2 linked regions of the Lepisosteus oculatus genome follow. The protein of the gene in region 2 purifies or fractionates together with the protein of the main gene of each other region. This does not show direct contact. Links are inferred from orthologs where the notes say so. Each region holds a gene or a part of one and is shown on either strand. Other genes may lie near its edges.

Evidence for each region. The genes of interacting proteins can lie anywhere in the genome.
Region 1: the proteins of csnk2a2b (region 2) and nifk purify together in Homo sapiens (affinity purification with mass spectrometry; 3 studies listed by BioGRID and IntAct, with this or other methods). This does not show direct contact. The link is inferred for Lepisosteus oculatus from reciprocal best matches to the Homo sapiens genes CSNK2A2 and NIFK.

The regions. Positions count from the first base shown.
Region 1 is NC_090707.1:4,289,510-4,297,104, reverse strand, and holds the start of nifk (MKI67 FHA domain-interacting nucleolar phosphoprotein), read left to right. Parts: upstream 1-4,525; 5' UTR 4,526-4,640; coding exon 4,641-4,757; intron 4,758-5,102; coding exon 5,103-5,231; intron 5,232-6,362; coding exon 6,363-6,471; intron 6,472-6,823; coding exon 6,824-7,035; intron 7,036-7,461; coding exon 7,462-7,527; intron 7,528-7,595. Other genes in the region: high affinity cGMP-specific 3',5'-cyclic phosphodiesterase 9A, read right to left, coding at 3,178-3,343.
Region 2 is NC_090715.1:11,436,941-11,445,305, reverse strand, and holds the start of csnk2a2b (casein kinase II subunit alpha'), read left to right. Parts: upstream 1-4,968; 5' UTR 4,969-4,985; intron 4,986-5,463; 5' UTR 5,464-6,820; exon of another isoform or gene 6,821-6,899; 5' UTR 6,900-6,931; coding exon 6,932-7,035; intron 7,036-8,365. Other genes in the region: cfap263 (cilia- and flagella-associated protein 263), read right to left, coding at 302-382, 852-1,007, 2,051-2,227, 3,012-3,144, 3,939-4,033.

The sequences.
Region 1 (7,595 bases), on a different chromosome or scaffold from region 2:
GACCTGTGAACACAAATATGTTTTTCAGCACAAGCTACATGTCCTAGGAATTTCAGCACACGATGTGCCATTTTAGCAGAGCTATTCTTAGATTTTACAACAAGAGAGTACCGTCGCAAACTAAAGCCTTTTTACAAATTACATTAAAACTGAGACTAAACACAAAAAAGTGGTTTCTCTAAATTTCAGTGTTGCAGCTGAAAGATACAAAAGATTTAATGTCACAACAAAACACTACAAAATGTGCTGAAAACAAATAAAATAGAGAGACGATAAATCCATGCTAGGACAGAAGTATTTGGGAAGCTGTCCACACTCTTTGCTTCCTGGACCACTGGTGGTCTTCCTTGTGTTTTATACCAGTTCTTCGCATCTTTCTGAGGATGTGTTAGGCATCTTTGTAACAGCAGCCCTGGGGATGTACAGTTAAGTGGCCAATCCATAACTCAAATCTTTTTTCAGAAATGTCTTTGAAGACCTTGCAGAAGACTTGGGTTAATTATCCTGCTGGAGTAGGAACTCCAGCCCAATTATTAAGCTCTTGTGGCTCTAGATAACACCCCACAGTGCAAAACACCTCGTTATTTTGTTGCATTAATTGATGTCTCTATTATACAAAGGCCAGCCTTGCCTGTGGAAAAAAAGCAGATGTGTACTCCACTATGTTTTCAACAATAGGCGTGACAACCTTTCTCTTTGTTTCACCTCCCTGAACACAGTTTCTGTCTTAGTGAAAAACAAAATCTGTTCAGACCCTGAAATCTTGCTTCTTCAAAGTCAAATGCTTTGCGGTTTTATGTTGCCTCCTTGCTTTCTCATATGGTCTTTCATCTTGTTAAAGATTTGTTCTCTCACAGGTTTCTCATGGTAAAATGCCGGCCCATCTACCTAGGGAATTTAGCTCTGTTCTAACCGCTGTTTACATCCAACCACAAGCAAATGCTGAGGCGGCGCTTGGTGAACTGTACAGCGTGATAAACACAAACACGAAAGTTTGAAGCCCGATGCCGCATTGATCTTTATGGGGGCCTGCAATCTCGGGAAAGTTTTGCCAAAATTTCACCACGGCGACCAGAGGCTATAACACCCTCGACCACTGTCACATAACCAATAAAAGGGGCATATCAAGCTGCGCTCTGACCACTTAAAGTTACAGTTTAGGATAAATAACCTTGCAAATCAGCTGGTTCACAGTCTTTGTCAAGCAGTCTTAGCTGGGCTCTGGGCCACACTGAACCAGCCTGACTGCATGTCCTCCTGTGTTCATCTCCCCCATCTTAACGTATTGTTAAGCATAGAGATTCTTTTTAGACTTCTGCGTCTCACTGAAAGCTCTTTAGCAGAAGAGGTTTATTTCTATTAATGTAAGGCAGATGTTGCAATTGACTAAACTCTTGAGAAACCTGAGGGCAGTGGGTCATCATAACTGAATGTTCTTTCTGGGGTTGTTAAAATTAGTCATCTTATCAACAATAGATCACAGGAAGAGAAGTGTTAACTACTATAGTAGTAACACTCGAAGAAGATGAAACATTGTGTCTCTTTGCTTTTTAGGATGAAATAGACCGTTACTTGTTCCTTTATAGTATTAACTATGCCCATCACAGGAGATCACATATATCAGACTTTGAAAAGGTTGCTGGGAAGGAGAAAGAGTGACTAACACAGAGCTTTGACAATATTGGCTTCGGTCATGAGAGTTATTTTTAAATAAGGTGCAAATATTGTCAGCACATTTGAGATCACACTCTCTGTTGCATCTGTAAAACATTTTTCAGTACTGGGTTTGTGCCTAGATATGCCCAAAAATGTTGTTTCCTCCCACCATATTTCTCTTTATGTGGAAGAAAAAAGGTTGAGTCTAAAAGCTCAGGATACCATATGTTGCTTCTCTCCTTATGCTCTTCAATTAAATACCTCTCTGTCAAAAACACCTGTGTCTCTGTTTAAAAGGGAAAAGCAATCTGAGAAGGGATTTCATTTTAAAAATTCAGATATTGATGTTTTTTCTTAGCATCCATATTGACAGAAATATGATTTTTCACAAGTCAATATTTTTTACAGTTTGATTGAACCTGACAATAGGCAAATTTTACCTAAAGCGTCTTAAAAGGAAAAAAGCAAAAAGGCCTAAAGTAATTTCCATACTTTAAAATCTTTTAAAAACCCATAAAGGCCATTCTGTTCAGTAGTCCCCCACTGTAGAATCCTGTGCTGCTTCACTGGATATTTTAATCGATACATTGTTTAGTTTGGCTTGAGGTAAGCCCGTACCATGCAGAAAACATGGTTTGATTTCGAATTCAGGTTAATTGCCCGTTGCTGGGTTTTGTTTATGGGGTTGACACTGTAATTTGGAACAAAGTTTATAAATTATTTATTTTTGTAAACCAACAGTAACGTTAACTTGTGTTCCAGAGCTCAAGAAAATTTCGTGTCCAGATAAGATATTTAACATACAAATGATACTCAAGCAGGTACCCAGTGTCTGGCCACTGTGCTATACCCTCCCACTGGTTGAGTAGTCTATATTGTGTAGATTCAGTGGCCTCTAAATTCTGCTTCAGGTGTTTCCAATCGCTTCCTTCCAGTTTTCTTCTTATATTTCGCTTTTAGCTACTCTATCAGACTTCCACTATCTGTAATGGATGATCTCTAAAAATTAATAATGTGTACTGCTGTAGTAGAGAATGATACATTTGCAAAACTATTCGCAATTCGCAACACTGGTGAAATTGTGTTTATATCCGGTAATATTCAATTAAACGGGAAAAACCCGAGAAGACAGAACTGCTTTAGAGAATATGTCAGTACATCCACGTATTAGCCCCATTTTCTCAACTTTTTAAGATCTATATGTTCATCAAATATTGCTTTTATTAAATATCTTTAAAATACCAAAACTCCATTACAATTAAAAGCTCGTGATCACGTCAACGTGATGAAAGTTAAGAAATCATGAGAGAGCCAAAATATGTATTAAAAGTTAACACTTTTAAAAAAAATATATATATATCGTGTTAAAATAAACAAGCAAAAAAATTAGGCAACGCATTTTTCAGTTGCTGTAGCCGTTGGCTTGTCAAGTAAATCAAACATATTTTTAACTAATCGCTTTAAAATGCTGTGTGGGAACAGTTCGTTTCGCCGTAGACGAGTCTCATGCACTTACTGTACCTTTCACATCTTGTGCAGGACAGTCTTCTCGGAACTCAGCCTGCTCTGCTCTCCCGTTCACCGTGAAATAAATGATTTTTGCTGCCATTTGAAGAAAACAGCTTTGCGGGTGGGAATCATTCGCTCTCCGGTTCCACTGCGAACTGCTGTTGAAGACTTCAAGCATCACGTTTAAACGAGGGACACCTCTGTCCTCTCTCTCTCTCTCTGTTTCCAAAACACAGTCTGCATCTTCTGCAGTTTTCTTTTCAATGAAAAGATCTCCCCTCCCACCAGAAGCTGCTGCTGGATCTGGGCAGCTTCTGCAAACGTATTATTATAGTATTCCTTAAACACAACACAGTGAGCAAGCACAGTGCCATGCACAGCTGCTGCAATGCAGGTGACGAAGTTAGGTGATACCCCATAACCCCTAATCCCTAACACGTAACTACTAACCCCTAACCCTAAACCAGAGAAAATTAAATTCTACATTCTTAGCGATAAAAGAGTTCAGCACTGGAACTCAAAATCACAAGTAAAAGCAATTAAACTTAACACCAACCCTCCAAAAGTAACCTTAACATCCCCTCCAAACCTCATCCCTTTTCCCAGGTCAGCGGATACTGGAATGAGAGGGCAGGGGACTCAGAGCTACAGAAGCAGTATCAACCATAAACCATAACTACTGAGGCAACCTGTAGCCGGCGCCTGGTCACTGCCAGACGAACTCGAGACATTGCTTCATCAGTAGCAGGGGCCCGAACAGAACTGGTGCCAAAGCAATAGGGGCACCTCGACCAGTCGCCACTCATTTCCACAGAAATTGACTCCCTCATAGCCCAGGTATTCCTAACCCCAATCCTTCTCAAACGGAGGAGGGCATGAACTCTACCCACAACCCAGCATTAAATCTGAATCTGACCTAAACGCAGGTGGCACACAAACTTTAATCCAGCTACACTGGGGTGAAACAGGAAGGGCATGGTGTGGCTCAACACCAGTCAACCAATATTCTAGACTAAGTGTCAGAGAAACCACCGAGGGGGAGAAGAATAGGTCACTCCAGCACAGTAATCGGAAACTAAGGCGAGTGCAGGAAAACATTTGTTCAAATAAACGAGCAAAAAAACTATGCAACACATTTTTCAGTTGCTGTACCCGCTGGTTTGTCAAGTAAATAAAATCTTTATTTAAAAAAATCGGGTTTAAAATGTTGTGTGGGAACAGTTCATTTCGCCGTAGACGAGTCTCATGCATTTACAGTGCCTTTCACAGCTTGCCGCTGAAGACCTTAATCCTCCCTGTAGACAGGGGGCGCTAAAGAAGAAGAAAGTGTCGTTTCCCCCCAAGTTGCTCTATTCAGTTCTTGCTTTCTCTGGTACGAAGTGCAAAGAAACAACGTGGTTGTGGTGCTGCATTGAGTGGAGGAATAGGAGGAAAATAGTCCGCTTTAAAGAAAAGGTTGATCATTTTCGTCGACGATGACAGAAGGCAGCTCGGCCCCTGCTCCAGCCGCCCGGAACCTGCTCGCTCTGAACCCGAGCGAAGAGGCTGAATTTAAGAACAAAGTGCGAGAAGTGAAAAAGCGATCTAAGAAAGTAAGCGAACTCCAACCATCAAAGAAACAGAGCGTGTAAATTAAAAGGTCGAGATCAGATCAATCTGTATGTAATCGAGCGTTTTAAACTTTACGGTGTAGCCAAGGAAGTCATCGAGGTCGAAATGCGCTTTAATATTTCGAAATAAAATTGTGCGGGTGCTGTTCGGGGCATGTGTGACATGAAGGCGAGGAGGAACACAGTAGCAGCCTACGTGTGGCGTCATGTTACTGAAGCGAGAGCATTCCCTTTAAAATGTGAAGTTATCCGCCTCTAATGTGGGCTTTTTTTGTTAAGAGTTGTGTTTGTTGTTTCCTTCACTTTCTTCCTGATTCATTTCGGCAGCATGAGAGGCTGACCCCAGGTGTGATTTACCTCGGCCACATCCCCAATGGGTTCTTCGAGCCTCAGATCCGACAGTACTTCTCCCAGTTTGGCAAAGTTCAAAGGTTACGACTGTCCAGGAGTAAAAAGGTGGGACGTTTTAGATTACAGATGTGGGTTCCGTTATATAGGCATTTCCAGAGTTCTTGCATTGCAGTGCTGTTATTAAGCTTAACAGATGCCCTTATACAGGAGAACTTACAAAATATACGCTAATACGTAAAGTAAATACGGAAAAATCAGATACTGTTGCAAAGTAAAACCGTTTCATAGTTCCATAATGAATTGTCATCTGTAATCTCTAATATATTAGTTGTTAAGGTTTTCTTTTGTTTTATGCAGTTACTGCATCAGTTAATGTCCCTGTATGTTTGTGGTCTTGCTTGAGAATATCTACGCATTTACTTTTGCAATTTGGTAATGAACAAAATTAAATTTCTGTAAATGTTTAGTGTCGTTGGAGCCGTGGTAGCTCCTGACCGGAAGGTCCCGGGTTCGATCCCAGGGAGGGGCAAGCGATGGAGCTCTGATTCCTTCCAGACGGCTCCCAGGTCCACTCAGCCTGCTTTCCACATGAGTACCAGACTGGGGGTTAATCCTTCTGGGGGTAATAGACCCGCCGGAGCGTGGTGCTGACCACATCGCCTCCACCTCCAGTGTGGGATGATTGAGAACAATGGTGGCCCTTGCCCCCACATTCCCCATGGGCCTGGATGGCCTGAAAAGGGGACCTAACCTACCTACCTTTAGTGTCACTATTGGTCATTTAACAGAACATTTTAGTCCTTTAGCAAATGCAATAGCTTTTATGCATAACAACTATTCCTTCGAAAAGGAGCACTCTTAGATTATAAGGAGCAGAGAGTGTATTTTTCAAACTGCCATTGTGAAATGAATGTTTCAATCAACTCTTCGTCCTTAAAGCATGTGAAGCTATTTAACCTATTACTCTTCTCAGTGTTCTTAATAAGGGAACAAGAAAAATCATTCTTCTTCAATATACTGATTAAGGCGTGTGTGATCGAAAGATATCCATTAATTGGGCCAAAGAGCGCAACGGGGGTTCTGATGTGGGAAAACAAATGTGTGCTTTCTGACTTCATGTCTGTCCCTCGATCAGAATACATTTCTGCAAAGCACATGGACAAAAGGATTTTAAATGCAATTTTAAAATCCTTGCATCTGCTTGCTTTATTCATTCACCTTGTTCTTGGTTTTCAGACAGGTGGCAGCAAGGGCTATGCGTTTGTGGAATTTGAGTGCGACGAAGTGGCTAAGATAGTGGCAGATACGATGAACAATTATCTCCTGCGTGAAAGGCTCATAAAATGTAAGTAAGGGAGGGATGAAGTGTGTTTCTGGAACACTTGCGGTGATTGTGTAATGTGTATGTCCGAAAATCTCTCTTTTAAGAACAGAATTTTCTGAAAAGTCTTGACTTCTGTCCTTTTAGCCTGGGAAGTGCTAGATTATAGAAAGGCGGCGGTGTCCTTTTGGTGCCAGTTCCATTTTTCTTACATCAGTTCGGTCTCACCAGTGTGACTGGTTATTGTGGGAGCTCTGGTTGAGTTTGAGGGGGGAGCACAAAGAGATGGTTTGTTTGTTTTTTATCCACATAGAAATCACTCAGGACCGTTCCACGCACGGAGTCGGGGTGAACTTCTCTGTGCCTTGCTCCGCAGGTCACGTTATCCCACCCGAAAAGGTGAAGCCGGAGCTTTTCAAAGGAAGTCAGACTCCGTTTAAGAAGCCCTCGCGCCCGGCGGTCGGCCGCTACAACAGGAAGCGCACACCTCGGCAGAAGGCGCAGATGACCAGCAGACTTTTACAAAAGGAAGCAGGTTTAAGAAAAAGGCTGGCAGAGAAAGGAATAGATTATGATTTCCCGGGATTTGTAAGTCCGCTTAAAACTGCCTGAATAGCTCTATAATAAGGGTACTGCCTGTGCGGTGGTATAGTCCTAAAAACGTTCCTTGCAAAGTCTTCTCAACAGATTATTTTCCTTTTTTCTTGCTGTCTGTCTGTAGAATAAAAACGTCATCTCTGAATATAATTATCTACACTACTCGTGCAACTTTTTGGGGCCCTTTAGCATAACTCGTCTGTTAAAAAGTGATATTTAATTGCTGCTTTTCTAGTTGTTTTTAACTAAACAGGGCCTTTGTCACTGAGCTAATGCAGGGGTGTGTGGCTATCGCTTAACTCTGCTTCATCATGAAAGGGTTCTCAGAAGTTGAAATAACTGTACTGTGCTCTTAATATTTCTGAATGGTATTTTGTAAATGGCTTCATAATGTATGTTTTTTTTTTCTTTTTTTAGTCTGCCCAAGTATCCAAAAAGAAGAAGACCTCTGCAGAGAATTCGGCCTCCATGACTGACAGTCTAGTATGTTGTATTAATGTGTCTTTTAAAACACGTATTGTAAAACGAGTAGGAAACATGCAAAGCTGTAC
Region 2 (8,365 bases):
ATAGTAAAGTATGAAGTACTATACTGTTGTTAAGAAAACATGGTAAAATATAGTAAAACTCTGACAATAACCAATATGACAATTTACCATATCAGTAACAAGTATTTCTTAAAATACAATGGTTTCACTAATGTGTAAATGATTCATCTGTACATAGATGATCTGAGATGTTCTTAGCCTATTGTTAACATTGCTATTGGAGCTTCTTACACTGTGTTAAGACAGCCATTTTTCTTGTTTGTGCTTTTTCGGCTTGACCATAAAGAACGTCAAAAAGACTTCAAACACGTGGAGCTCCTACCTGTCTGAGCTGCATTTGTAGTTTCTTCTTCTGCACCTTCAGGGCTGCATTTTTCAGTCGCAGTTTCTCTGCCAGTGTGTCCTGGAAGAGGCAGTCAGGACAACAACAGGAGTAAGGAGAGGGCTACTTCTGTCTGGTCCTGCACACATCCATTTGGCTGAGAACTGCCAATCCTAGGTGCTGCCATTGTCTCAAGGTTAATAATGTATGTCCTGTTGCCGTGAGTGATACAGTCCCTAGCCTCGAGGATATTCCAACGTGATGTCACTAAGACAGCAGCCTCGAGGACACACTAATACTCTGTGGAATGGAAGCGTGCCAACTTGTAGAGTAAAAACCTAAGAGATGAACTGAACAATTAACTAATTAAAGGCATGCCACTCAAAGATCTGCAGCAATAACACAAATGCACTATTTTGTGCAAATACCCTGTTTTTTTTCTCTTTTAAGCTGCAGATCAAGGTCCTACTTAATGGCCAGGCTGTTGCATTGGCTGGGACCCCAGTCTTTGTACCCTGCCTGTTCTCACACACGTCCTGTGCCTGCTCACCTTTGCCCTGGTTCTGTCCTCGATATACCGCACTACCTTCTCTGCCCCCATCATGACACCTCTCTTCTCCTGCAGGACCCGGGCGACATCACGCTCAAATTCATACGTGGCCTTCTTTATTTCCACCAGCCGGATATCAGCCTCTTCTGTAGTGGCCTGGGAGGTCAACACAGTAACAAGAAAAAATGGCAAAAGCCACAAGCAAAGGCATGCAGCTCCACCCCCAGCAAGAGATAAGCATGTTGGAGCTCAACCATGAAAAACTACCATTCAGAGTACCAGCCCAGAGATCCCTGACTTCGACATTCTTAGAGATTTGTGAGAGGAGTCCTGTACACTACTATGCCATAAAATGTCTGTGGTTAACTCAGCATCTCATCTAGCAGATTCTCAAAGCACTGCAGATATCATAACCTAGAGCTGGACATGGCAGCTGTTTCTGTGTGTAAACCGGAAGCACTGATGTAGCACAGCACAACACACAGTGAGAACCAGCCAGGGTCTGTGCAGCCTAGGGGACAGCTGGCACACAGGCGAGTTATTAATGAGAACTGCAGTCCCAGTTTCTCACACTGGTTATTAAATCTCGGTAACAAAATAAAGTCATTGACATTATAGGGGAAAAATGTCGAAATTCTGAATTAAGCACAAATTTGTGAACTTAGTGAAAGTACTGGATGTTGTCATAAACTCACACTCGAGTTCCCACAAATTGTGACATGATGCTGCCCTTCCTGCTCACTATTCACTGTAATGGCTAATGTAATGGGATGTACCAGTGAATACGTACAGGTTGTGCAGCAGACATTTTACCGCAGAAATGGAAATCTGATGTTCCATAAAATGTCTACAATGTGCAGAGTTTAACAATTAAGTTGAATTTTCAGCAAACTGTCTCGAAATCGAGAGCAGTATTTCTATTGGCTTTAGAGATGTATTCACAAGCCGGCTTCTTTACAATGTAATGGGGCCGCTTCACCTCACCAGAGTTTGGTCGCCTCCTTCTAAATCGCAGATCATGGTGCTGCGCAAACGTAGACATGGGATCTATTTTGTGCAGAAAATTGGAGGTTTACACGCTACTGTGTACATTGCACTCTAATTGTGGTTTGAAATGCGCTCATCCATGCAGATTCTAACAGCGGACTCTGAAAATAGCGTTACATCTCCCTCCCGCTTTAACTGCGCCCAGCTCCTACCCTGTAGTTGTTGAGAACTCGCTCCGAGGCCTCTTTCAGTCTGCCCAGGTCCTCTCTCGTCTCCTCCAGCTCCCGCTGGGCCACGTCGCACTTCTGCTCCACCGTCAGCCGCTGCAGCCGCTCGGCCGTGAACGAGCGGCTCTTGGACTTGCTCCGGCCCCGGGCCTGGCCCTGGCCCTGCGGACGAGACCGAGCCGCGTCAGGGCCAGCCGTGGGAAGCGCTGGCTATGACGACGGCGGGCCTCTTCTCGTTCCACGAAACGCGGCGGGTTCACGCGTGTCAGGACAGACAGATGTACCGTTTCATTACTGTCCCGAAGCTTGGGGGCAACGTTCGCAGAGTCCCTCGTGTGTGTTGTGAAAGACATCACATTGATGCCGACAGCTTGTTTTCACTGACTCAAAATGTGCCAGGAACTGAATAAGAAACCTGAATTCTCCAGCGCTTGCTAGGGGTTTGCGTGCCCTGCGCTCTCTCAGTAGTGCTCTTTTTGATGGCTTCTGGTTACGTTGTTCTTTATCGTCTTAATTCCATATATGTTGTCAATTCTACTAAAAACTGCCTCCAAAAATACCCCCCAAAATTTAAAAAGTGTGTGTGAATGTACCACAAGTACATGATGGTGTCCTTGTACCTCAAGGATAAGGGAAAGAGAAAGTTAACGTTTTTCAGACAGCTTTGCAGGTGTGATAATCACTATGTGCAGCAAGCAGCCCTTCCCTGCAGCAACACAATCCACGGGAAATGCTTAAGGTGAGAATGGAAAACTAAAGTCATTAAAAAATAAAGAAGAAAACCGAACAAGACGTCTAGAGTACGAGATCTGGGCTCTGACATCCCTAAAATGACACATCTCGGCTCACTGACAGGTGCTGCTGTAAGATCGGAGACAGACCCAAGTAACCCCCCCCACTGCGGCAGAGACAGCCGGGGCGCCCCACACGGGCATGTCCACCATACCTGGGTGACCTCCGCCTGGGACACGCCCAGGGTGGGCTCCGCCGCGGCCGCCGGAGCCAGGTCTTTGGGGTCCAGGCGGCTGATGTACCTCTGGAACATCTCCGTCTCGGCCTTGAGGACACCATTGGAGCGGCTGGCGACACAAGAGGCAGGACAGGGGCTGCTCACGCGTGCGTTCTCCGGTGTTAGGAAGTGACTCTCAAGCTCAGCGACCTCACGCTACTGGTTTCCTACCCGTAGCGCACTTTTACGTCCTTCTGCCCACGTAGGCGTCATAAAGTATCTATCTATTGCAAGACGTGCTGCGTATTGCGGTCACACATGTGTCGGACGGGATTTAGGTCAGAATTACCGGATACGACACCGGTGCGGTTATAAGGCCCTCAACCGTTTAAACACCTGTTTTTGCCGTTTGGCGCAGCTCACTTTCATTTGCCTAGTGTTAGTCTACACAGTACCCGAGCTGTGCGCATTTTCCTGGTTACACGAGCAATCGGAAGCTGAGGTGCAGTCTAGAGATTAGTCGAGCACCTCTCCTGCCTTGTCGTTCGTACCTTGCCTTCTCTCTTGCATGCAAAGTTGAATTAGAATGCTCAGCTAGTATACAGTTCAAAAGAAAACACGACATCTCAAAGAAGTGATTTTTAAAAAATAAGTGTGCATGGAATTATGTGCTCCTAACCAGAATAGTAGGATAGACAGACCAACCGCAGGAGCTGCAGGTATTTTGTTTTTGTATTGTGGTATTTCAATGTGAGAGCTTTTAACGCTTGAAAACAAAAGTACCCTCTGAGCCGTCAATCTTGCTCTGGACTAGCTTCAGAAGCTGTTGATCAAGCTATCCCGTGTACATCAGGGTGTACGCCTTATCCGAACTTCCCCTCGTCCACATTTTCCACACCGATTGGTTCTCTCTATTTACAGTACCTGAGTTCTTCTACGAGCAACACCAATTCGTGCGCCCCGAGCTCGGAAAACTCCGGATTGTCGTCTGCCTGGGACTCGCACTCTGCCTCCGCCATGGTTGCCAGGATAAACAAGCGAGGCTGAAGTTGGCAACCAGCGTAGACGTCACACACGGCGCGTGACGTCAGGCGATGACGCCACCGCGGTTTGCAAGACAATTTAGTGTCAATATTGCCGGTCTTTTCAAGTGTTTCCTTATTTCACGATTCATTGTATCTTGTACTCCGGCCCTCCATGACCAGGAGTTAATGTCACTGAATCATACATTACTGCCCCACTGTGTGGGTAGAGAAGATTGCAACTTGAAACAAATAATAGGGACATTAAAAAAATAATGTGTCGCTATACATCAATAAAATCGGTCGATACACGTCACTTATAAATAATGCCACACCTTTGCAATAGCAAGCAGGTTTCCAGGTAACAAACAACAACGTCTTATTCATTTTGAACTCAAATCAGTGTAATATATTACCCTCCATCTTGCCAATATGTAGCATCCAGTGTTAAACTTCCGTTTACGATGCGGGGGCCCTTGCCGCATTAGGTCGGCCCCCCACCGTCGGGGGCTCGAACCCGGGACTTCCGCGTTACTCAACAGGGACCCAGCCCGGTGAGCTAAAGAAAAATCCCTCTATACTGTTATACAATGACTCTTGATGCCGTCCATCTGCGCGTTTCTAACGTCTTTACTCCAGAGCCTCGAGCTGATATGTCAGGAATGGCGCTGCGTGTATATATATATATTTCATTTCCAGGGCTCCTAAATAGGCCCTTAACCCCAACTGCTCCAGGGGCGCCGTACAATGGCAGACCCTGCGCTCTGACCCCAAGCTTCTCCCTGTCTGTGTGTCTGTGTCTCCTTGGAGAAAAGCTGGGGTATGCGAAAAGACGAATTCCTAATGCAAGAACTTGTATAGGGCTAATAAAGAAACATTATTAACATTATTATTATTATTATTAATTGCAGCACCTGCAGACCGGATTCCTCCCTTCCAGTAGGCGGCGGTAAGGTTGGCCACTGACAGCCCGGTAGCGCTGCTCTTGTCAGAGAGAGGATTATACTATTGCGTGCAAGGTTGCGCATGCTAAAAGGGACACAGCGAAGTTCAGTTCTGCTTCTAACGTTGACTAAGAGATATTAAAAATGCAGCAAATGGACATTGGAAGCCATAGTATTTGTGGCGGTTTAATGACTTTCAGTACATTAAAAAAATATATTTTAAAAAAATAAATCAGTACAGCCACGAGAAAACGGGATATTTACAATATTTAACAATATGTTAAAACCCTGCTGGTCAGGGTTATAAAAATGCCCCTTAAAACGAAATTAATGTATAATTTTAAGCCATACAGCCTTATTAAATGAAGAGGTGAATATTATTAGGTAAGAATAGAATAAGGCTAAATGTATATTATTAATTGTACCTAGCCACTTTAACAACGGCGTAACACTATATTATTTAATATTATTTTATTTTTGCAGGTATGACCGTGTTGGTGATAACTGAATCCTGTTCCAAAACCGTGAAAGGCGGCAGTAAGAGCCAGTTTCTCGGGCGGTTTAAAAAGCTCGTCTCGTAACGCCCCAGGATTAAAGAGGAGCAATGCGATCAGCTGGAACAAATCGACGTGCTTCATGAGCTAGACGCGTCCTCTGACCTCGTATGAGTGCTTCCGAATTGGGTTTAGATTTAAAAAAAAAACGAGAGAACCGGTAAATTCTGAACCAGACGACATGCACACGCCTGTCTTTACTGAACACACTGCCAGCCTCTTTCAATGCAGTGACCGATAAGGGGGGCTTGACGGCCAGTTTAACTTTATTGCTGTCGGAGCCTGATTCTCAATTCGAGCATTTGCAGGAAACACTTTTCCAAGGCTCACACCGAAGCAGTACAGACCCCCCCCCCTTCTTCTTCTTCTTCTTCTTCTTCTTCAAGCCCTGCCGGAAGTCGGCAGCTCTTCACCGCCACAAGGTCGGGCCCGGCGCTGTCTAGTCGTAATCCGCTCGTCTATGGTCGCATCCATCTTCGCGAAGCTGCGATCGTTTCCGGGTGGATCTGCCGCAATCCGGTTGCCTGTGGTACTGGCCGGGGGAGGGGGGTTCCCATAGAGATCCCCGAATCCGACCTCCGGAGCGATTTCCCCGCTCTCCTCCAGCGGCTTGGACGGCGCTCGCAGGCTTTCGGGGTCCCGCCGGCCGGGGCGCAGAGGGAAAGCGGCCATCGATCCGCTCGATCACCACCGGGCAGCGAGAGCGCCGATCATCTCCTCCCCCCCCCCAACCCGCAAACACACACCTTCCCATACCACCCCTCAACTCACACACACACACACGCCGGCTTTGCGTTGAATACATCCTGTAGACCCGTAGTACTGGATTGTAAGACCGTTTTTCGTCAACATCCACGGCACCGGCGCCATCCCCATCCCCCCCCCTCCACCCGAGGATCCGTTCCGCCTCTCGCAGGGCCTGGACCCCGGGGGAGTCTCAGCGGGCTTCCCTGTCTCCGGATCAAGGGTTTCGCGGCCCACAGCGGGATGGGGGGGTTCGCCTGCAGTCAGTAGTTTCACGGCACCCCCGTCCCCCCTCTCCCCACTTTTCAAAACCTGAAACTCCAGACTGCGCGGGTTTCGCCACCGCCTCCGGAGGTGCTCGCCTCCCGCTCCGTCTCCTCACCGGGCTGATTACCCTGGCGATCCCTCTCCTCCTCCCTCTCCCCGCCGCCGCCGCCGTTCGCGTCCTGCAGCCTGGGTCCCCGCTCTGCCTGGCTCTCCGGGCTACGATCCCTGCCTGCCGTGAGCTCTCCGGACACTGCGCCCAGACCTCCCCGGAGAAGGTACCCGGCGGGAGCCGCCCGCCCTGCTCAGACGGCCCCCTCTCGGCTCCGATAACCGCCCGCTGTCCCTCGTTCGCAGCGGCTCCCCAGACCCCCTCGCCCCGGCTAGCCATGCCTGGCCCCGCGGCGGGCAGCAAGTCTCGGGTGTACGCCGACGTGAACACTCTGAAGAGCCGGGAGTACTGGGACTACGAGGCACATGTGCCCAGCTGGAGGTGAGGAAGGAAACTCGCAGGGGGAGAAAAAAAAACAAAAACACGGGGGGCGCCGAGACCCCGGGACCCCGAGACCCCGGGCGTTTTGGACGCGGTAGATAGCGCGCAGCAGCCGGCTTAGAAAGTTTCCATTTCAGCCTTTTTGCCAAGGCCTTCCAGTGCGGCTTCCTGAACCGCCGAGCATTTAAAATTGGACTCCGTGAATGCTTAATTCGTCGTCATACCTAAACTCTTGAATTGTTTCTTGGGGGGGGACTGTAATACCGGCGCTGTAGAGGCAGCTAGACAAATAGAGCACAACGCACAGTCGGAATAATTTGGCACCTGATTTGTGCTGCCTAATCGATGGCAGAGGAATTCTCATCTCCATCAGGCCGTGAAGTTTCTTTGCTTACCCGCAGTCCCCGGAAGACCAATTTTATTTATACCTCAGGAGCTGTGTGTGGGTTTGTTTCTGTCCGGTTTTATGGCTGTGAAATAATCGCCGCTCTTGAGCTTCCAAAAGTCACCGAAGACCACAGCTGAGCACAGAGCACAGGCGGTGTGGTCTTTTTGGAAGATTCTTTTTAAAAGTAGGTGGTTGTTGTTTTTTAAAAACGCGTTTAAACAAGGCATTGTTGATTAGCTTCTAATTTCTTTGTATACGTGGGGGGTATTCAATGTAAAAAAAACCCACTTAAATGAATGAAATTTGTGATTTTCACTGGGAGATACTGGAATTAAGGAAGCACATTGTCCTTGTGTTGAATGGAGGACATTGCAAAGCACCAATGACTGTACCGGGAGCTCACAGCAGGTGTCTGGCTTTAGGCTGCCTGGGCCTGTTGTGTACTTCTTTGAGGTACAGTAGGGTGGCCTGAGGCAGGCCTGCATTGTTCACCTTTTTAGGGTTTTCCTTCCCTTTTTTCCCAGTCACTGACATCTGCTTTCTACGTTGATCGTTCCAGTGCAGTGATGAAGATTGTAAATAAAAGAGAGCCAGACGGAGACAAGCAGTCCCCGAAGTACCAAGTACCCACATACGTGTAGAGCGCTACTTTTGTGCCTGTAGTGTAGTCTCTCTGCACCAGCTGTTCTGTGTATTAGGCCCAGAACAGTGTGCCTGCTCTATCCATGTGGTTCGGGTCTGGTTCTTGTGTTACGTGATCACAAAGAGTGCTCATTTTAACATGGCAGTGGGCTTGCGAGATTTTGACCAGTCCACAAAGTTTTTGTGCAAAGGCACACAGAAAAAAAACAAAGCGCTGATCAGATGTCAGTGTGCTCCTTTCCATTTTGCTTCCTGACTCTCAGGAAGTCCTCCTGCTCAGCTGGGGCTTGGCAGTGTATA